Linked DNA regions of Drosophila melanogaster. The protein of the gene in region 3 binds, or shares a complex with, the protein of the main gene of each other region. Each region holds a gene or a part of one and is shown on either strand. Other genes may lie near its edges.

Region 1 (8,383 bases), on a different chromosome or scaffold from region 3:
GCACCTAAATAAATATGCAAAGCCCAAAAATCTCCAACTGAATACATTTATTATACTCTACAACATATTTAGAGCGATTTTATCGTACATATCGCATCGCTTTCCTTAAGATTTACCTAATGCATTTTTAAAGCATAAGGTGATTTCGGTTTGATCGACTTAACAGAATCGGGAATAATCTCTGAGATTTTGTACCAAATTCGCCATCGTGTTGTAAAATTTTATTTATTTCCTTTGGAGTTTTAAATCATTTTTCTGCCAATAAAGTTAAGAAATTGCCTAATAAGATCCTTAGTTTCTATGCATCATAAAACAAAATCGTGTAACTAATGGCTTTAAACTAACTCACTATGCTAGCTTTAAGAGAAAATCGCATAGAGCAACAGGAATATCTCATGACGGCTGTCTTTCTTCTGTCATTCGCCAGCCAGGCTAGCCAAAAGCTCCTCATCTATCCCATCCGCCGATGGTGTACCCGCCGTGCTGCTAAGATTGAGCAGTCCTTCATTGCCAGACTGCGAAGGAGGCACCGGCGGCTTCGCTTCCGGCTCCGTCAGTCCAGTAGAGCTGGCAATAGGTCCTAATATCGAAGATGATGTTCCCGCTAAAGCCGGTTCTGAACTGCCACTTGGCGTGCTGCGTCCACTGGTTGTATTGCCTCCGCTTCCTCTCTGCGATAACTTTGGGATCTGGAATTTGTTGTGGAGCCCCTTGATGAAGCCTTCCATGCTTGCGGCCATTGTCGGAGAAGCGTATTGGAGGATGGTCATCATATCCGTGTGGTGATCGAATCGCGGCGGTGGCTGCGACATTGAGCCGCTAAGGGCCGGCGATACCGACCCCGAAGATCCGCTGCCTCCTCCCGAAGCGGAGCCTAACTTTCGCTGCCCGCTGCCTCCTCCACTGCTGCCGCTAGCCAAGGCTCCCATGCTGGGACGCCGCCTGGGGGCATTGTGCTCTTGGAAGGAGTTAGTGCTGTTGCTCTTAGTCAGCGGAATTCCGCCACCTGATCCCGACCCACTGAGCTTGCTGCTGAGATTGCCCGAGGAGTTTGCCTTCTGGAAGAAATGCTTGCTGGATGATGCCGTGGCGGACGAGACCGCTGCGGTGGCCTTCTTGGAAGCGGGTCCGCTGTTAACGCCCGGCTTGAGTCCGGTATGCTGCTTCTTCGTGGATCCAGTGGACCCAGCGAAGCTCGTGGCGCCGCTGCTGCTGCTCTTTGCCTTCGCTTGGAGGCCAGAGGAGGAACTAGAGCCGGAGCCGGTGCCGGAGCTCTTGCTGCTTCCCGTCTTGTTGATGGTCAGCTTGAGGCCCTCTTGGCTGCTGGGCTTCACCATGTATTCCGTGGAGGCTCCGGCCGGATTGATGCTCCCGGCGGAGTCGCTGCTGCCCCCGCTGGTGGTTAAGCAGCTACTAGTTGGCGCTGCTCCCGGCTGTGGCTGCTGCTGCAGAATTGTTGCTGTTGCCAGCGTTGCTGCTGCCGCTGCTCCCGCTGTTTCCTGCCCCTGACCCACTACCGCTGAGACTGGAGACACCAATGACGCTGCCGAGCCCGCTGCCACTGTTGTTGTTGGTGCCGGAATTGTTGGCGCTAAAGCTGCCGTCGACGTCATCAAACTAACCTGACAAAGTAAGCATGTGGTTGTGTGTGTGTTAGGGACCAAAGAAACCAAAAATAAACCAGAAAAGAAATTATAACAATCAAAAAGGGGAACATCACGTGTAGCAAAAGAAAAAATTGTGGGATTTCACAACCATTGGTAGTGTAGGAAGGGAATACAAACAGGAAGAAAGAAGAATGGACCCCGTTAATAATTAGCTTTATAGTTAAGTCGGATACGAAATATATTTTTGAGGAGAAAATGTATGAGGCAAACGCTTGTGGAGCTACTTTCAAAGTGTACATCATAAGCACATTAAACACTAATTTTAAACGTAGTAAATATTTAAGTGAGAAGGAACTCTTGTAACTAAATCTAGAAAAGGGGAAACAATCAAATTATAATACTCGTAGAGTCAAGATGCCAAGCACTACTAATTTACACATTATTTACTGATGTTCTTAACAAAGCTTAAAAGTCATATGCATACACATTCTTATAAATCCAGCAATACTGTAGACACTATAAACTTGGTGAACCAGTACGCCATGGTTTTCTACATGCCACATGCTGGCCAAACAACTATACAAATCAAACAGATTAACTAATAATAAAAACATACGTTCTCAATGCAGAAAAAGAGGTTTAAGCTGGTGTTTTGGGGATAAGCCCCATTACCATACGAGTTTTGGGTTTGGTCGAAAATAAAACGGATGCAGCAGTATATATGACAAATAATTGAATCATATGTATTTACAAAAATTAGAAAAGGCAAAACGAAACACTAACAAAAATAATAATCATAGTACTAAATATAATCATTTTCAACTACAGCAGAGGTAGGCAAATTACAAATCGTTTTATAGCTAAAGTAAATACAGCATTTGCATTAGTTTAAAGATAGGTTCGCTCTGAGTTTGATTCTGCATTGGTTAGGAGAGGTGGCAGAGAGTCAACTACGTGTTAGGCTTCCAGTGGGAGATGCTGGGGGTGGGTTGGTGTGGTGTGGAGTGGAGCACTTATAATGAAAACGGACTTACCGCACCTCCCGCCATGCCCTTGCGCAGGGCACTCAGCTCCAGTCCGGAGGCCCCCGCTCCAGCGCCAGCTCCTGCTCCCACCACCACTGCGGCTGCACCAGATGCTCCCGCTCCCGACGGGGCCGCATAGCTACCCAGTCCCCCGCCCGCCGCCAGATGCGAAAGACTGGCGACTGACTTCATCTGCTGTTGTGAGGATTTCAGGGCAGCTACTGCAGCAGCCACACTTGCCGGTGAAATACCTCCGCCAGATGCGACACCTGCAGTTGCCGAGGATGATGTGGAACTGGAACCGGATGCCGAAGAGGTTTTCTCCTTCTTTAAACTCTGGCTGCTGCTGATAGATCCGCTCGAGCTCGCTAATGGAGGAATTGGAGGTGGTGGAGGCGGAGCTCCAACGCTGGCAAATGACCTCACCAGGCCAGTAGCTCCGCTGGATCCTGAGGAGGCGGATGGTCCCGAAGATGTGTTACCCACAGCTGACGAGGACTTATCGCCCTTGGGACTTAAGATGGTGGCAGCTGTAGCTGCACTTTTAAGCGTTGACATGCTCGGCTTTCCGGAAGAGCCGTGTTTGGGTGAGTGTGTGCCAAACGGCGACTTCGGGCTGTTGGAGGCGGTGTTGTGCTTGGGACTGCTATACACGGGAGAGTGCTTGGGGCTGGGACGGGCAGTCGGCACTCCGGCCATTAGACCCTGTCCACCGCCACCAGCTTTGGGTGACGACGAGGGAGAGGAAAACTTGCGAACCACTCCACCAGTTGCGGAAGCATCTGCGCCACCTGCAGGCGAGTTTTGCCTAGAATAGATCTTCTCCGGCGGTCCCATGGGCGAATCGTCGCGCTTTTTCTTGCGCTTCTTTTCCTTCTGCGTATCTGAAGAGCCGCTGCTGGCTGAAGACGACATGGAGCTGCCAGAACCACTACAACCGGACGTAGACGAACTACTTGTGCTACTTTCGTGGGGACGCTTTGCGGCCACACCTACTCCAGCTGAAGCAGCGGTACTTTTTTTGGTTGAGTCCTTACTGGGATCCTTGCCAGTTATTGGGGTAATAGTTATAGTCGTGGGAGTGGCACTGGATGAGGCTGTAACACCTCCTCCGGCTATAGCCGCCTGGGCATTCAATGGAATAATTTCGATACCACCCGTTCGCTGTACCTCGACCCCGGACACTCCCCCAGCTGATCCAGACTTTCCATCTCCTGGGATGGGGGTGATGCTGACGCAATGCTTCAAATTTGGAGTCTTGTCCTTCCAGATATTTTTGTACTTGTCAGCAATGTCATGGTCACTCGTCTTGGCGGAGCCGGATGAGCTGGAGCTGCCGCTGACCGTGGTGCCACTGGCCGAACTACCAGACTGTGGATCGGTTTCCCGCTTAAGATTGATCAAACCCGCTATGGCCGCTGCTGCCGAAGTAGAAGCGGCAAAAGCATCCGCTAGAGATCGCGACTTCGCATCCATTTTAAGGTTGTTAATGTTGGCGAAGCCACCTCCGGGTAGGCTTCCATCGGAAGGCGTCGGCGTATCCATTGAAAACTGGCTAAAGTTATTGCCTACTCCTGAGACAGGTCCACCACCACTCATGCCTCCACCTCCGATTGCTCCAGAACCAGATCCAGGTCCAATCGCGCCATGCAGTTTGAATTCGTGCTCCTCATCCCAGCACTTAAGCAACTTGTAGATTACCATCGGAATGGATACCACTTTGCGCGCGGTGCGGGTTAACTTCTGGGACAGCAGCTCGTATTCGTTGGTCAGACAGTAAACGCTGCACGTGGGCTGACCATCCTCAAGCAGAAAATCCACAGTGGCCAGCGACTCTTCGTACGGGTGCTGCAGCTCAACCGTGATTTGATTAAATGAAACGGCGGTTACCTCCAGTATCACAGTGCTGTCCATATCTGGGACGAATGAGCATAAAAAAAATATTATTATCATAAAACAGGAATGTGGGGGGAAGTGGAGCACCCAACTCACCATTATACTGCTTCTGCTGCTCACGAACACAGCTTGCGAGCAGGGTGTAGAAGAGAGCTTGTTTCTTGAGGAACGCCACGATTCGCGGAACCTGGGCGGGTTCAGTGAAGGGCAGTGATGACACCAGAGTTCCCTGCAGTTTGCGGTTGTCGGTAAAGAAATAGCAGTGCGTCTCTTTAGGTAAATTCACATACAGGCCGCGCTGTGTGTTCTTAATGGCCTGCTTCGATGCAGTTTGTACTATGAGATTAAGCACTGTGGTGGGCGGACCAGGAGGAGTGGCAACTGAGTCTAGACCGGGCAGACCGAGAGCCTTTAGTGATTCCAGGCAAACAGGCATGGGTTTGTTCAGCCGAAGCACAAACGTGGCCGGCATCAGCAGCGAGTTGTTCTGGTTAAGTTGGGCATAGGTGGGAACCTCCAACCCCGTTTGGGCATCGCGGACCAAAGTCACCGTTGGCAAAGTCTGCAGTTTGTTGGCTGATGAGCCTTCGAGATTGATAGTGGCACTCAGTCCGTAGCTGCTTCGCATTACCTGGTCGATGGTGAAATCGCCGCTGGCCAGTTTGGGATCCCCTTCGGGAAGGTGGAGCGGCGGGCAGAAATAAGTAAGCCTCATAGGATGGCCACCGCGACGGGGCAGCACAAGACCCACCGATGAACTTGTCATAAGTGAGTAGCTGTCTCCGGAGTGACCTTGCAGGTGCAGTTGGTATAGGCTCTGGATATCCGTCTCCATGGCCTGAAGCGCTACAAACGCCTTCTTTTTCACCTTGGGCTCGGCATTCAGCTGGTAAATGGAGGACAGACCCTCGAGTTGAACCGTAAAGTCTGCAAAGTCGCCAGACTTGAGGCAGGCCACTAGCTCGCTGGACTGTTGCTCGATCTTGCACTCGTGGTGCACCTTGACGTCCGACAGACTGCCGGCGGCGTCCAGCAGGATCTCTACGTAGAACATGTCCGTTGATATGAAGAGAAGCTGCTGGTCCTCCATGAACTTGAGGCCCAACTGGCGCGAGAGGCTCTCCAAACGCTCCACAAGGCCGTGGCGTGACGTGACCTTGATGTAGTGCTGCAACTTGTCCAGCGCCGACTGCAGCGTGGCCTTGCACAGGGGGTCCAGAGGGTAGTGCTTCTCGATAAAGTACATACGCACCGACTTCTTGATCTCCTCGTAGCTCTTTGGCTTGTTCCGGTACTTGGCCCGCAGCTTCTCCATCATGGTTTCCTGCTGGATCTGCTTGTTCTTTTCCTCGATGCTGGGAATGTGGCTGCCGAAGCCTGTGCAGATTTGTGTCAGTGGTGCTCCGGACATCTTAGTTATGGGGGTATATATTAGTACTTACCAGTCCCCGAGGACTTTGCATTGGATCCGCTCATATCTATGCGTTCCTAAGTAAACTGTATTTACTTAATGATGCTGTGGCATTTTTGACAAAGAATTGCGGCAAATGAAAAAGTTCTCGATCTAAATAGCTCAGAACCTTTTTTCTATGCCTTCATCATGGCAAAAAAATTTCAACGCCAAAACAACAAAATGGCTGATCCTTCACAGTGGCTGGTCACGCTATAATAAAATACTGGAATATAAAACGGAACTATGATATTTCCACTGCGTCATTTGATATTCGATGTATTCTGATTCAAAGCTTGTATCAATTGCCTGTTCAATTATGTATGTTATATTTTTTAGTATGAGGGGTAAATATAATGAAGCAATTAACATCTATATTCTATACATCCTTCTGGTACTTTTACATTCTATTTTTTATGATGTAATTGTGCCTCATTTCCTACTCGAATTTTCTCTTAAGCTACAAGGGTATTGTAATGAACAGAAAAGCTCAAACATTCTTTCGTTAAAAAATAAATTACAGGCCTCATAATTTAATACCGATGATTTAATATTTATTTAAAATTTCCAATGATTTCTAAATGTCTTATTGGCATAAAGTTTAATTTGGGGTTTCTGTTCCAAGAAACCGAAAATGATTATTTAAAGTTTCTTGAGATTTGAAAGAAACTATAATCCTATAAAAATAAATATCAGCTAAAAAAAACTTTAAGGACTAATCAAATAAGTAAACAAATACAGCTTACGACTTAAACAAATTTTATTTCGCTAAATTCATGATAAGTCTTAAGCGTTCCTCTCTTCCTCGTACTTACCTAAACTACGACAGATATACGGATTATATTGAATATAGGTTTGGTCCGACAAATCAAAAGTAGTCATAACCTTTACTAAAGGTAGATGTTATATTTCATAGAAAATTGCAAAAGCTTAAATTCAAATTTTATTAAACATTTAAAGTATTTCAAATTTCTGTTTTCTCTAAATTATTTTGGTATATTTATTATCATCAAAGTGCAGAGCGATATTTGTATGCATGCGCGGTCACATTGAGCGTAAATGATAAATATTTGTTATTAAAGTGTTTCGGAACCAAAGGTTAACAATTCAGCCACATGACGTCCATTGCGGGAGGCCACGGCGAGGCGAATCCAAACAGCTCCTGGCTGAGTGCCCGGGGATTTTGGCTAGCATACCTCCTGGGCCTGCTGTCGGTGCACCTGCTCTTCTTATCAGTGCCCTTCGTTAGCATTCCATGGGCCTGGACGGCTACCAACCTGCTTCACAATGCAGTGAGTGCTCATGGCGCCGTTGAGGAGTCAGTCCTTATCCTAATCCCTCTTGCCAGGCCCACCTGTACTTTCTGCACGTCATCAAGGGCGCTCCCTGGCTGAGCACGGAGAACGATCCCAGCCGGCGTTGGACGCACTGGGAACAGATCGATGACGGGGTACAGATGACCACAACGCGCAAGTTCCTCACAGCTGTTCCCATTGTTCTGTAAGTGAATACGTACTGAAAGTCGGCCAATATAGGTGGGTTTTTATTTAAAAAAATTAAAACTAAATGAAGACTTAAATTCTAAACTTGTTTTAATGTTGATCAAAGTATTTCAATAAATACTTTTTATGTACTGCAGTTTAATTGAACTAGTAATGTAATTGCTACCATATAATGCCTAACATAGAAACTCATGAAATAATTGATTTTTTTATAGTTTCCTACTTACCTGTCTGTACACCCGAAACAACACGGAACACTTTATCCCAAACTTTATATCCCTGGTGGTCGTCACGCTTCCCAAGCTGCCGCAGTTCCACGGCGTGCGGCTGTTCAACATTAACAAGTACTAGCTCCTGTGAGAACGGGCCGCATTTATTTTGTTTAATGAAAATGTACATACAAACTTATATTGATGGCACAGCTCTTGCTCAAAAATGTAAATATTGCTAAATAAAATATTTATCAAATTAAATAATTCTAAAAATCGCGTTTCGATTTTTATTGCATAAATAATTATTGATCATGGAAACTACAAATCATCTAAAAGATGTATTTGGGGGCCAGCACATGAGATATTTTATAACCCATTATGTCAGACGATTAAGTAGAACCATGATGTAGTTCTTTAGCCCAAAGGATTAAACTTGATCAATCGCTGTACACAGAAGTCTTCGTAGTGACGAAAAGCACAGTGAGTGGGGTGCGTAAGTATAGTACATATATAAGCCGAAAGATTGAAAACATGAAAGAAAAACCCGTTAACTGATTTTTTCTGTTAAATATTCTTAAATATAATCATACAACATACAAAAGTACTGCTATCAACTTAAGTGGCGAAAAATGATTATAGACATACTATACAGATACAATGCAAACACTCGCCGCAAACAAGCAAACAACAA
Region 2 (8,280 bases), on a different chromosome or scaffold from region 3:
GGATAGAAAGCACTCGAAGTGATTTTTTACATCAGTTCTATTGTTAACGGTAGGCCAAAGATTCAGTGAAACAATTGCCCTTAAACCACTGACATTTCAAACAATGCAACCTGTCCCTCAAGCAGCAAAAGCCCCCCAGAGAGCCAGAAACTTTCGAGCACAGCCAAACGCGGAAGACGAAACGCCAGCGAGACGAGGACGCCAAGATGATTAAACTATTCACGCTTAAGCAGCAGAAGAAAGACGGCGAGCAAAAGGGCAGTCAGCAGAAGAAAGCGTCCGCCGCCCAGCTGCGCATACAGAAAGGTAGTCTCCAATCCAGCACCTGGTATGATCAACTCTCGCTTATTACTTATCCATCTTGGGCTGTTTTCCTCCCCCCAGATATTAACGAACTGAACCTGCCAAACACTTGCGCCACAGACTTTCCCGATCCCAATGACTTGCTCAACTTCAAGCTTATCATCTCGCCCGACGAGGGCTTCTACAGAGACGGGCGCTTCGTGTTCAATTTCCGCGTCGGATCCAACTATCCGCACGAGCCGCCCAAGGTGAAGTGCGCCACCCAGGTGTACCATCCCAATATTGACCTGGATGGCAACGTCTGCCTCAACATTCTGCGCGAGGACTGGAATCCAGTGCTGAACATCAACTCCATCGTCTATGGCTTGCAGTTTCTATTCTTGGTTTGTATTTCGTGATTTGTGTTATTTTAGAGGCTATACGCTTTGTTCCATAAGTCTTGATCAACAGCCACAGTTTTCAAGTTACAATTGATTTTTTATGTCTTGTTTTGTGAACAATTGATTTCTAAGTGTGCTTAATTGAACGCCCACTGAAACAATTCAATATAAATGTTTGTTTATACCACTTAACGATCATTATTTCTATTTTTGTTATTACCCAAGCCAACAGTATTACTAATCCAAATTAACTGCTTCCAGGAACCCAATCCCGAGGATCCGCTCAACAAGGAGGCGGCCGACGTCCTGCAGACCAACCGCCGTCAGTTCGAGAACAATGTAAAGAAGGCGATGCGTGGTGGCTGTGTGGGCGAGACCTACTTCGAGTGCTGTCTGCTCAAGTGATATAGGGAATCGCAAGGTCTCTTACTTTAAGCCTGTCCATACACCTCCCCCTACACCCGCTAACTGAAGAAGATGAAGCAAAACACAGACGAACATCGGCGACAACAAATTATTGTAATAAACGAAAACAAAATCCACTGCGTGCAAAGAAGAAGCCGAGTCAAGTCACCAATTTCTAGTTTTTAATACAATTCATTTAGCAATTTCGCCCACCCGTCTCTTAATCATAATCGGCATACCCAATGTGGCAATCATCCAAATCCCTCACAGATGAATGCTGTGCCTGGCCATCTGCATATTTCGCCACAGGCAAAGATCAGACACAGCGGACAGTCTTCCTGCCTGGATTCGCAGATCGTATAGTCTGCTGATGAGACCCACTTTTATGTCGTCGGTGACCAAAACTTTCAGGAGCTGTTGCACCAGGCCGTTGGGCAGCAAGCGCAGGACGGGAGCGACCCTCTCACCACCGCATTCCACCAGCAGCGAAATGAACTGATAAACAAAAACGGCCTTGGGCGACAGTTCATCTCCACTGACAAACTGCAGGAACACTGCGAAAATGTGCTGCACGCTCGTCTGCAGTGGTTCTCTTAGAGTAAGCGGCGTAGTCCGCAGTTCAGATGTGGAAGTGGAGCCCAATAATGCTGCCAGGCCAGCTCCGGTCGTAGTGTCCGTAAAGTCGCTTGAGTTGTCGCTGCCATCGCCAATCACCTTGCGCACTTTGGCTGCATTGGCCGCCAGTTCCTCGTCATCGTGAGATCTCGATCGCTTCTTCATGGCCGTCAAAGCGGAAGTGCCATTTCCTTTGCGGCTCTCCAGGCAGGAAATAATACAGTAAACACAGAGGCGGGCCAGTACCAGGGATTGGGGCTCATTAATGTCCTCACTAGAAAAAAAAAAGATTGCCAAATTGTGAGTACGAGTTCTATCATAGCAGTTTCAATTTTTACATCCTTTCTTGCTAAATCGATTCGATTTGTAGATAATAAATAAATGAAATAATATACAGAAGAAAATATTGGTATTTACCCTTGTCGTCGCAGTATCAGTGGAGCCACCACGTACTGGAGCAACGCCTCAGTGGTCTTCTCAATGTCGAGATGCATTACGGCAAACACAACGTCCATGGTTCGCGACATATCCCTTGTGTACTTGCAGGCCAGCAGTTGCTCCACCAACTGCGTGGACAGCCACGCCGCGCCACCGGCTAGCAGAAGCGACTCCAACGACTGAGCGGCGCGAACGGGCAGGTGACCAGCATCGACTACTGTTCGCCACACCTCCCGAAACTGCTCGACTAGCGGGGAATGTGAAATGAGGCGGGACTTGGTACTTGGGGCAGGATGCACATCGTGTTGCATTTTTCTGATAATCTGATAGGAGAGAGCTAGTCGCTCCTTGGCATTTTCCTGGCTGGAAAGCTCTTCGCTGGTCAACGGAGCCAGGAACTGCTGAATCATGTTTAGTGGTTTCAGAAGTTCCGTTTCCTTCACCGAATACATGTAGGCGCATAGAAAACTAGTGGCGCAAACGGAAAAACTGAAAAGTCTTCTCTTAATATTGTCCAGAATACTTTTAACGTCCGCCGAGGATAGCGTTTCCTGCTCCCAAGCTATTAGCACATGATGAAGCACTCCGGGCAGATTAAGGCAAGTCTCCTGCCAACTTAAGTTGTTTGGCTTAAGTTGTGATGCCTCTGGTTTACTGAAGCTAAGCAAAAGCTCGTCGACAATACTGTCATCACAGAGGGCAAGAATTTGACGCGGATTCTTAAGCTTATTCCTTTCCACCATGCACTCACGCACCCATTTTTCAAAAAATGAGTCACCACGCTCAGATAAGACCACCTGAAGTAAAATAGAATTCATTAAAATTGCAGCGTAATAACAGGCGGGTTTACGAACATCGGATCCATAGGTCTGCACAATGCTTGTCAACATTAGGAAGGAAACATCAAACAGAGTGGACCGGATGACGCATAGCTTGCCCAGGTCGCCCGGCACCGGCTTGGAGTTCTCATTGCACTGGATCAGACGCGATACGAATGTCTTGAGGCGTCCCTCGACGGTAGCCACTGAAAGAATCAACTCGAAGCTGTTGCCCACCGGCACTTGGCAAAGGACATTAACCATGTCCTGGACCTTGTTGGTGCACAGCGTTTTTAGTACTCCGGAAAGCGGAACCTCTGCGCGCTTGATGAAGTTTATATTGGAGGGTGTCTGTTGGCCATTGTCGCATTTTTTGAGTAATTGAGAGGCGGCTTCCCTGAAAGAGTTCGTTTTAAATTATATAATTAAGATGGGTGTACAAAATGCATGATTTCTCGACTAACCTTTGACTGGCGAACTTCTTTACGTGGACATCATTGACTAGTTGTTGCTTGGTCCAGTCATTCAAAAGGAACTCGATCATATTGCATGAGCACTTAGTATCCATGAAGTCTAGCAGCAGATTGTCCTCGATGAGCAATTCCAAAGCCTCCACCAACTCGGGTATGTAATCGGCCGGTGGTGGTTGCTCCCCGGGAATCCGTTGCAGGGCGTGCAATTGCTTAATGATGTGCGGCATTTTAAAGAACATAAAGGCACCCCACATAGTGTCAGGACTTGTATCCGCAACATTGCTCAGCGTGAGGAATCCAGCACGGATGATTTCGTAGAAGAGCCGTGTATTGGAGTATTTCTTTAATCGTTGCAGCATCTGCAACTCAGCCACGTAGTAGCTGGTGTCCTTGCACGGATTGAGAAGCACTTCCACCGCCAGTAAGGGTTGCACGCAGCACGAGATCTTCTCGAGTGTTGACGGCGGATTAAGTGGTTGCATTTCAAGATGCTTGGCTTCTATAAAGGCCAACTGCTGCAATTGCTGCTCCACTTGTGGTGCATTTAGCGTAAAGTTTGAGTTCGTCAACGATCCCTTGATGGTAGCGTACTTATCCCGAATCCGTCCACATATTTCGAGCTCTTCGTGACAGCCCACGTACAGCATAGACAGCAGGAACTGCTGCTGGCTAAGCCGATCTATCACCACGCAGGTCTGGTCCAGCATGTATGATTGCTCAGCACTAATCTCACCATACAGTTCATAGTGCTGCACAGTTCTGGCGAAGATTTGAAGCAGCCAGTACACCAAGTGGACGACGGAACTCGGTAAAACCGCTTCCTCAGATTTTATTCTGGAAATAGAAATGAACAATTATTTTTACTCCTGCTTTTTAACGACTTATAAAACTAAAAGGACTTACCGGCAGGTAACGCCATCCACGATGCTGGCCAGGAATTCAAGGAGCGCTGTAATGCAATAAACGCGCTCTAATTTGTCATATTTGGCAATGCACCGAATAACAGCAGCGTGAGAAACGAGATGGGCGCACAGTGAATGCTTCAGGTAGTTAAGAACCAACTGAAAAGCATAGATTACAATTTAGAAAACAATCTAAATACTCAGATCAACTACTCACCGGATTAGCCGTGGAACCAATGAGTGCCTGCTGCATCAGACAGTCAGCCAGATTGTATACATCTCCACTGACTCCTCTCGGCAGCACCTGAAATAGTAATCAAGGGAAAGACAATAATGAAACATTTTCTTTTCCTGTCAAACTTTAACACAATATCTGGGTCACAACCCCATAAAATAAACAGAAACAGAACCACTTAAAAATCTAGTTAGGATTTCCACTTATATAGTTAGCACACATAGTTGCATATTTCGTTACGCGATAAAAAATGTTTCGTTTAAAATTATTTCGCAGTCCTGGAGACGTATTAAGCACTTTAATTAGCGGAGCTGCAACGGATTGCTGCAGGAAGACGTCACATTGTTTGGAGTTGGATCGCGCTCCCGCTGTCGCTGCCTGCTGGATCTGTATGCGGATGATCAGTCAATATCAGTTCAGGACCACGAAACCAGCCTACTATCCAGATCGCCAGCGGGAGGCGAAGCGAACGTCAGCGGGAGCCACGCCTCAACAGGTGTCATCTCCGGCTGTTAAGTACCCGCAAAGCCGAGGCATGCCCAAGGACTACTACTACAAAGTGTTAGGCGTCAACAGGCACGCCACCATCCAGCAAATCAGATCGGCTTTCTATGCGCTGGCCAAGCGCTATCATCCCGACTCGACGCACTCGGAACAAAAGCTGAAGCACTTCCAGGAGCTGTCCAACGCCTACAACATCCTAACCGACGAGACGAAGCGCTTGGAGTACGATCAGCTGGGCGGGATTAAGGATGAGCGCGCTTTTCTTGAACAGGCGGGCAATCCCCTAAATGTGGGCCTCGAGGAGGCCAAGAAGTTCGATTCGGATAAGACGACAAATGATGGTAAGCAGACGGATTTTAGATACATCAAACACCATTTCACTTTTCACTATATCACGATATGAACACGATCCTTGAATCGCCTTCTAGAGATCAACAAACTGAAGAGCAACGAGTTCGATCTGCCACTTGACTTCCTTGAGGCGACAGTGGGATGCAAGAAGCGGATAGAGCTGCGCTACTTGCGGAAATGCGAGACCTGCAAGGGCAAGTCACAATTGATGGCGCATCGGGATGTGGGCAAGGAACCCTGTCGGCGATGCAATGGAACTGGAAAGGTCATGACCAAAACGCCAACCTTCTCATCGGTGAACACATGCACGCAGTGCAAGGGCAAGCGATTCACAAATCGCAACGACTGCGAAACATGTTCGAATCGCGGCTTCGTGGTGTCCAATGTGGATGTGATGGTATCGGTGCCTTCCGGATCCCGGGACGGTGATGTGGTGAACATTATAAATCCGGAAACGAAGCAGCAGGTCACCTACCGCTTGTCGGTGCCGTCTAGCGACTATTTCCGACGCGTTGGCAATGACATTCTAACCGACAAGCACCTAAACATCTCGGAGGCCATTCTGGGCGGATCCTTTCAGATACGGGGTCTGTACGAAAGCGTGGAGCTGCGTGTGGAGCCGGGCACCCAATCCCACACCCAGGTGGTGCTCAATGGCAAGGGGGTGCGCTCCAGGGAGGGCGTGGGCAACCACATCGTCACGCTGAAGGTGCGTATACCCCGGAATCTCTCCGTAAAGCAACGCCAACTGGTTTTGGCACTGTCCCAGGCAGAGGATCCGGTTTTCGAGCCCAAGACTAAGAGCACGGAGGCGGGCAATTTGAGTCACTAAAATTCTCAATGTACCGGCCTCATTGCGTTTACAATATATTGGTAAACACGAACATTGATTGTTTGGTGTGTTGATTTGCTTGGGTTGCCTTGCCTTTTTTATGTTGATGCCCCACTGGGAGTCCGTCCAGCGCTCGCGCCACGCCACATAGATGAGTTGGAGGATCTTGTTGTTCTCCTTCATCTCTCGCGTCCGTGGAAGTAATATAACTTTTACTTTTCTCGTATTTCACGCAATTTATTTTATTTAAACCTAATATATTTTTTAGCAGCGCTCAGTGTGACCGAGGTATCTTTTATTAATCATACCAAAAGAGTACCATAATTTTCCCATCCTACAGTGTTGAAAAACACACAATCTTAAAATTTGTCGCCAATTTTAAATATTTTGAAAATTTTGTTTTTGCAACGAGGAATTTAGCCAAATAAAGGAAATAATATTAAAATATATTTTAAGACACCGAAAAGGCACCCACAAACAAATTTTAATTCAAATAATTTATTGAATACAATAAAGTAGCGTATGAGTTTCATTTGTAAACTGTTTTCATTTTAAACATTATGTTCTAAAATATTTGACTTTGTACAAAATATATTCTATTTATATATGCCGAAAATTGTTCCTCCATTGCACGCTCCGATTTTTTGAATTTCATTTCACTCATCGTGTCGCTAGCTGAATGTTAAATTTTAAATTGAATATATAATATATATATATAGGTGTGGTGTATGTGCTTAATCCGAGATATTTCGATATGATTAAACAATAGCTAGGCGAGAACTTTACATACAAATCGAGTTCGGTGGATTGTCAAGGGAAGATGCGCGAGGACTGGAAAAATAAAAAAATTAAAAACTAATTTGCAAAGGCCGTTTATTTTGTATAAAAAGCTGGCAACTCAAATATCAAAGCGAATCTGTAAATCCGTCTAAATTATTAATTAACAACTAACTTAGGAGTGTATGACAAAAGCATTTCACATTCCAATGGCAGCGCCAGGAACGGAGGCTTAAAACTAAAAAATGTTTTGGGTAGGGAGAGGCCGTACAAAGGAATATTGGCTGGTACAAAACGAGGAAGAATCATCGCTGACAACGTTAAGAGCTAAATTAAGTCTATGACCTATTTATTTACTTAAATACGCTTGACGCCACAGAGCCACCGTCGTTTATTCATCATCATTATCGCCGCCGCCAGTCGCCAAGCATCATTGTAATCACTTTAGCATCATCGTCCTTATTACTTTGAGGAGTGAGTTTCGTTTACCATCGCTGCATCTCTCATTTTTGATCATTGACCTTGTCTAAGCGGATGAGGGTCCCACGGGATCGTCACCCTTCACGGCCGACGCATAGGAGCTACTTGGTTTGTCGACACCACCGGTAACAGAAACAGCCGACTTGCCATCACCGCCACTTCCACCAGTGCCTGCTCCGGCTGCACTTGCACTGCTCGGCGGAACTCCAGCTGCTCCGCCAATGCTCACGCCACTGTTAAGGCCTAGAGTTTGAGGTGAATCAACTAGAGAATTTGTTTCGATTGTGGGTTTGGTTGGGATGTGTGTAAGTGTGAAGTGTGTGCGAGAAGCGAACAGTTAAGCACCTTTGATATCCATGGCATAGTGGTCCTCCAGCCGCAGGTCGTGCCTCTTTATTAGCTGGCACTCTGCGCCCTCGACGGTGGGAATGGAATACACGTACAAGTACCCATCCTGCGAGGCAATCAAAAGTCTACAAATACAACAGAATGAACCGTTATTTAGAACTTGAAATAGAGGCAGGGTAATCAGTTTGTAGTTCAATTTGCACGTGATTCAATTTTTGTTTTATAAACCTTTATGAAATGTACTAGGCTACTTTTGCAAAGAGCATATTAATTACATTTCAACAGAGTTCAGGGAAATTCAAACATATGAAGCCAGATAAAGTAGGTAGTGTAAATGATTTACGCGGAACAACTGCATTGGTATCTAGAACTCAGATTCCCTACCTGAGGTATTAAGCTCGCATAGAATTGCAGTTTTC
Region 3 (4,141 bases):
TGAGCTCCGGGGTATCTTCAATATCGCTGTCTACATCAATGTCGTCGCTCAGATCCTCGTCATGATCCTGCAGTTCTTCAGGCACGCCCAAAAGAAGACGTTTGCGCTGCAGCAGTGCTGCCCAGCTGAGACGAGTCTCACAAAGCGGACACTCTCCTCCAACTGGGATGTAATGACCTGGCTCGTCGCCCAGAAGGTAATTGGCCAGGCACACCATATGGCATGTCAGCCGACACATTTGATTTGTGCATCCCAGGCGGGATTTCTCCGGTTGCTCCATTTCCTGCATACAAAGGTGGCACTCGGAAGCCCACGCCACAGGTGGAGGAGGTACTGCATCATCAGGTCTCCTACGTTGTGAGGCACTAATGGAAACCTTGCCACTCACAATTTCCATGTGTTTAGGCAGTGCCTTGCTGAATGGCCTCTCGTAATCCGTTTCTAGCCAGCGAACGGTGAGCGGTAATCTATTCCAAGGGCCAACCCCCAGCATATTACTAAGGATCCTAAAGTTGTAGTCAAAGAACGTCTCCCTGGGCAGTTTTCGTTTTAATTCAGGGTACATTTTAAGCCTAGTTGAAAGCGACGGCTGTTGCCAAGCCCATTCAAACTGGAGTGCCACTGTATTATTCGGGAATCCGTGCACGATCATTACCATCAGCCACGGCCCTTTGCGACTGGTTTTCCTCGCGCCACCGAAATCACAACCAAGATTGTGTTGGCGTATCCGCCGTTTGGGGTTCACGGTGAAGCCCACGTAGCATTTTCCCCGGTAGCGAGGATCCAAGCTCTGACTGCATAGCAAATAGACGCCGTAGAAGTGGCCCTTCAGCGCGACGGATTCCTCCTGTTGAGAAGCTGTGTCCTGTGGGTCTGTGAATTCACCAACAGATAGATTAATGAAACTTGCTTTGTGTCTGCAACCAAAAACCAACGACAAAGGAGGCGACACCCTAACTAAAGCAATGAGATGAGGTTTTCAAGATTTTCTAAAATAAAAAAAGAAATAAAATTATTTTAGAATTTTAGTTTGGCTAAAATAGCTAAGAAAATAAGGTGTGTTAAGTGGTAGCTGTTTCTCAGCCAAAAAGGAAGATAATAAATGGAATGCAAAATAACTTGTTCCAGGTTCTTATACTATTTTATTGGTAAACTTTTAGTTGCCAGCGCTAGTTTAACTCTAGTTTTATGTTGGCCCCCGATGCCACGCCATTGATTTGCTGCTGCTGCTGGGGATTTCCAGGCTGTGCTTGGACAGGCTGTAGGGCAGAAGACGTCTGTTGACTATCCGCCGTGGAAGCTGACCCGTTCACGTTGGGGGTAGGTGCTGCTGATTCGCCTCCCGTTGCTGCCTCCATGCCGTTCGCCTGCTGTTGTTGCTGCTGAAGCTGCTGTTGTTGCTGCTGGGCGGCCGTAACGTTTTCGATCAGTTTGATGCGCTTGCGAGTGTAGTGCTGCCACTGCAGAATGGCCTGGTCGTCTATGAACTTGCAGCACTGCGAGTTGACGATCTCCCGGCGGAAGTGTTCGTACTGCAGCAGATCGAGGAAGTAGAGGCACATTGGGTACATGAGGTATTTCGCATAGTCCGGCTCCTTCCAGTACTGCAGATACTTCAGGTAGTTGATGAACGACTGGTCCTTGAAAAATCCACGCTGTGCAAGGACTGGCACAAGGCGTTGTAATTGTTTATTTAGATATACGCGCAAGATGGTGAATAAGTGAATATTAGGTAGGTCGAGGTAATATTATTCTTACAGTTTAGATAGTTGGGGTTCGACAGGCACTGCACGAACTCCAGCTCGATCTGCCAGCGTCGCTTCTGCAGCTCCTCCGACTCGATAGCAGCTACGGAAGAAATTGGAGAGCATTAGTCCCTGAGAAATTAGCACCACTTTTGGTAGATCTCTGAGGATTCGGCATGCCAAGCGGTGTCAGTAGGTGTTAGATTACAATGCGAAAATGGGTGTGGATTGGCGTGTACTTACTCTTACCCTTTCCGTACATTTTGGCCATTTTGGACTGGTCTTTGGCTTTGGAAAGGGTCTCGTTGGGTCGGTACTTGCGTCTATTCAGTTTCGGTGTCGGGTTGGGTTCTTGGTTTCTTTCAGTGTGCTATGTGGATGTTCTGAGCTGTGTGTTTTGGTGCACCATCGAATTGAAAACGAAACGTCGCGGCAAACAAAACACACAAGTAAAATTATAAATATATATGGGCTTCGCTAATGAAATAAAATGTATGGCGCGGCAGTGACTGCACAGAGCAAACGCAGGTTGTGGGCCAAAAGAAAACTCGGGAAAACAGTCGACCAGGTTTCTGGGCGCAGGCGGTGGGTTGTCGCTCCCTTTGTGTTGGTGATTTCTTGTGGGAAGGCAGTTAAATTCAGTTTTTAATATTGTCTACAAACCGTAGGAGTTCATTTGGATTGTTGATGGCCGGCGACAACCCTACTTCTGTCCCCGCCAGGGCTGCAAGCTCATCCGAATACGATTTTTTTTTCGTAAAATACTGCTTTTCCGTATATTTTACTTGGTGTGTGCTAACGGTATTCTTGAAAATGTTTCTGTGTTAAAAATTAGAATTAGGGTTGTTTTAACCAACAAAAATCTTTAATACCAGAGTAAGTTTAAACAAATCTGAGCGTATGTATCAAGAAGTACAGCGATCAATGGTATCTACAAATAATCATAATAAAACAATTAAAATTTATATTAAAATATAAAATTCCGACCAGAACATTGACAATTTTTAATTATAATATGTAATTAACAATTGTGTGTAGCCTTCAGTATTTATTTCACTACCCCTAATGTGATGCGCATTTAATTCGGTATTTTCACAAGCCTACGACGAACGCTGTGGAGAACAATGCCTGATTTTTTTGTCAGCCTGAAAAGCAGCGAGGAAAAACTTGAATTTCGTCTGTAAAACATATCTAATCGGAACCAAGCCACTGAAAAAGTCGTAGTTTAGGCTAAATAAACGAGAAATCAACGAGTGAAACTAATTTCTATCTGTGGACAGAACGCCCCCGCACCTATTTTTGTGCTGAGGAACAAGCGAAGCAGCGACGCACAATTCAGAAATGTAAGTATTAACAAAATTATGTAATTTAAGTGCATATGAAACATTATATATGTATATCCAACTATTTCCCCGATTTCGACGGGTTAATCATCATCCACAAAAAATTCATGTTGGCGAAGAATCTATTATTAGATTACAGTGTGCTCTGCTTGAATACAACTCCGAAATGTATATACATATACAGATGCATACAGATGTACACATATGTACATATGTGCATATGTATCTATACAGCACAGCACAGCTGCCGTCCAAATAGAACCAAAGATTGTTTCTTGATAGGCTTCTGAATCATTTCAATGTAATTACGAATGTAAGTCTCTTTTGTGTCCGCTTAGGCAAGCCACAGTCGCAATTTTAATTGATCGATTGGTTTGCCACACTAATTCGTACATCTAAATTCGAGATAAATAGACCATTACCTAAAACAGTATTATAGAGTGAAAAGTGTACAGTGTGTAACTGGTATAAAAAGTGATTCCGACCCTATAATGTAAATGTTTCTTCGATCCGGACCAATGGCCTGGTCGATCTGACCACGATCTACAACGCCCAAATTGGCATATAACACTGTAGTTCCATACAATTGTCATAATAGTTAAAATAGGATTATTAGAAACGTATCAAATAAATGTCTTCGCTGAGTGCTGGGTATCTCATAGTCGCGACTCTTGACTAAAGTGATCTTTACTCCTAAACATCTTCCTATATACATGTGAAATGAATCAATGTTCTTAAGTGGGAAAATTCATAGGTAATATTAAAATGTTTAGTGTTGTAACTATGACCACGGCTTTATTTACGGGGGTGCATAAGGGGTAAAGCCAACGGTTGGCTTTTCCACATAGGAACAGCTGCAGATTTATTGGTATATTTTAAAGAACTGTCTGAGCTTAGCGTTTATGGGTGTCAGCTGGCACTACCTGTCCGGGGGTCGTCCTGGCGTACCTGACTGCCTACAAAACTCATTACATTTTTGCTTTCCATTACAGTTGCAAACCGGTTTTCGGCGCAGAAACACCCACTCGATCGTCCAAGAGTCAAGCGGAGAAC

The links.
Region 1: MED31 (region 3) and MED1 share a complex: the UniProt entries of both Drosophila melanogaster proteins name them as parts of the mediator complex.
Region 2: MED31 (region 3) and MED24 share a complex: the UniProt entries of both Drosophila melanogaster proteins name them as parts of the mediator complex.

Annotation. Positions count from the first base shown.
Region 1 is NT_037436.4:21,628,292-21,636,674, forward strand, and holds MED1 (mediator complex subunit 1), read right to left. Parts: upstream 6,156-8,383; 5' UTR 6,005-6,155; coding exon 5,971-6,004; intron 5,906-5,970; coding exon 4,625-5,905; intron 4,549-4,624; coding exon 2,642-4,548; coding exon of another isoform or gene 2,621-2,641; exon of another isoform or gene 1,830-2,620; intron 1,623-1,829; coding exon 417-1,622; 3' UTR 34-416; downstream 1-33. Other genes in the region: ORMDL (orosomucoid 1-like), read left to right, coding at 7,094-7,270, 7,327-7,478, 7,696-7,831. UniProt on the Drosophila melanogaster protein: Component of the Mediator complex, a coactivator involved in the regulated transcription of nearly all RNA polymerase II-dependent genes.
Region 2 is NT_037436.4:8,189,548-8,197,827, reverse strand, and holds MED24 (mediator complex subunit 24), read right to left. Parts: upstream 6,559-8,280; 5' UTR 6,440-6,558; coding exon 6,350-6,439; intron 6,307-6,349; exon of another isoform or gene 6,257-6,306; coding exon of another isoform or gene 5,502-6,256; intron 5,415-5,501; coding exon of another isoform or gene 4,820-5,414; exon of another isoform or gene 4,712-4,819; intron 4,639-4,711; coding exon 4,552-4,638; intron 4,494-4,551; coding exon 4,336-4,493; intron 4,267-4,335; coding exon 3,424-4,266; intron 3,357-3,423; coding exon 2,996-3,356; intron 2,939-2,995; coding exon 2,121-2,938; intron 1,982-2,120; exon of another isoform or gene 1,978-1,981; coding exon 1,353-1,977; 3' UTR 1,255-1,352; downstream 1-1,254. Other genes in the region: NEDD8-conjugating enzyme UbcE2M, read left to right, coding at 207-306, 385-686, 945-1,088; CG7387 (uncharacterized protein), read left to right, coding at 4,820-5,414, 5,502-6,256; Atg18a (Autophagy-related 18a), read right to left, coding at 7,560-7,777, 7,859-7,986. UniProt on the Drosophila melanogaster protein: Component of the Mediator complex, a coactivator involved in the regulated transcription of nearly all RNA polymerase II-dependent genes.
Region 3 is NT_033777.3:4,640,276-4,644,416, reverse strand, and holds MED31 (mediator complex subunit 31), read right to left. Parts: upstream 2,455-4,141; 5' UTR 2,422-2,454; coding exon of another isoform or gene 2,409-2,421; exon of another isoform or gene 2,134-2,408; 5' UTR 2,017-2,133; coding exon 1,989-2,016; intron 1,849-1,988; coding exon 1,759-1,848; intron 1,667-1,758; coding exon 1,170-1,666; 3' UTR 1,125-1,169; downstream 1-1,124. Other genes in the region: nuclease slx1, read right to left, coding at 1-873, 2,409-2,421. UniProt on the Drosophila melanogaster protein: Component of the Mediator complex, a coactivator involved in the regulated transcription of nearly all RNA polymerase II-dependent genes.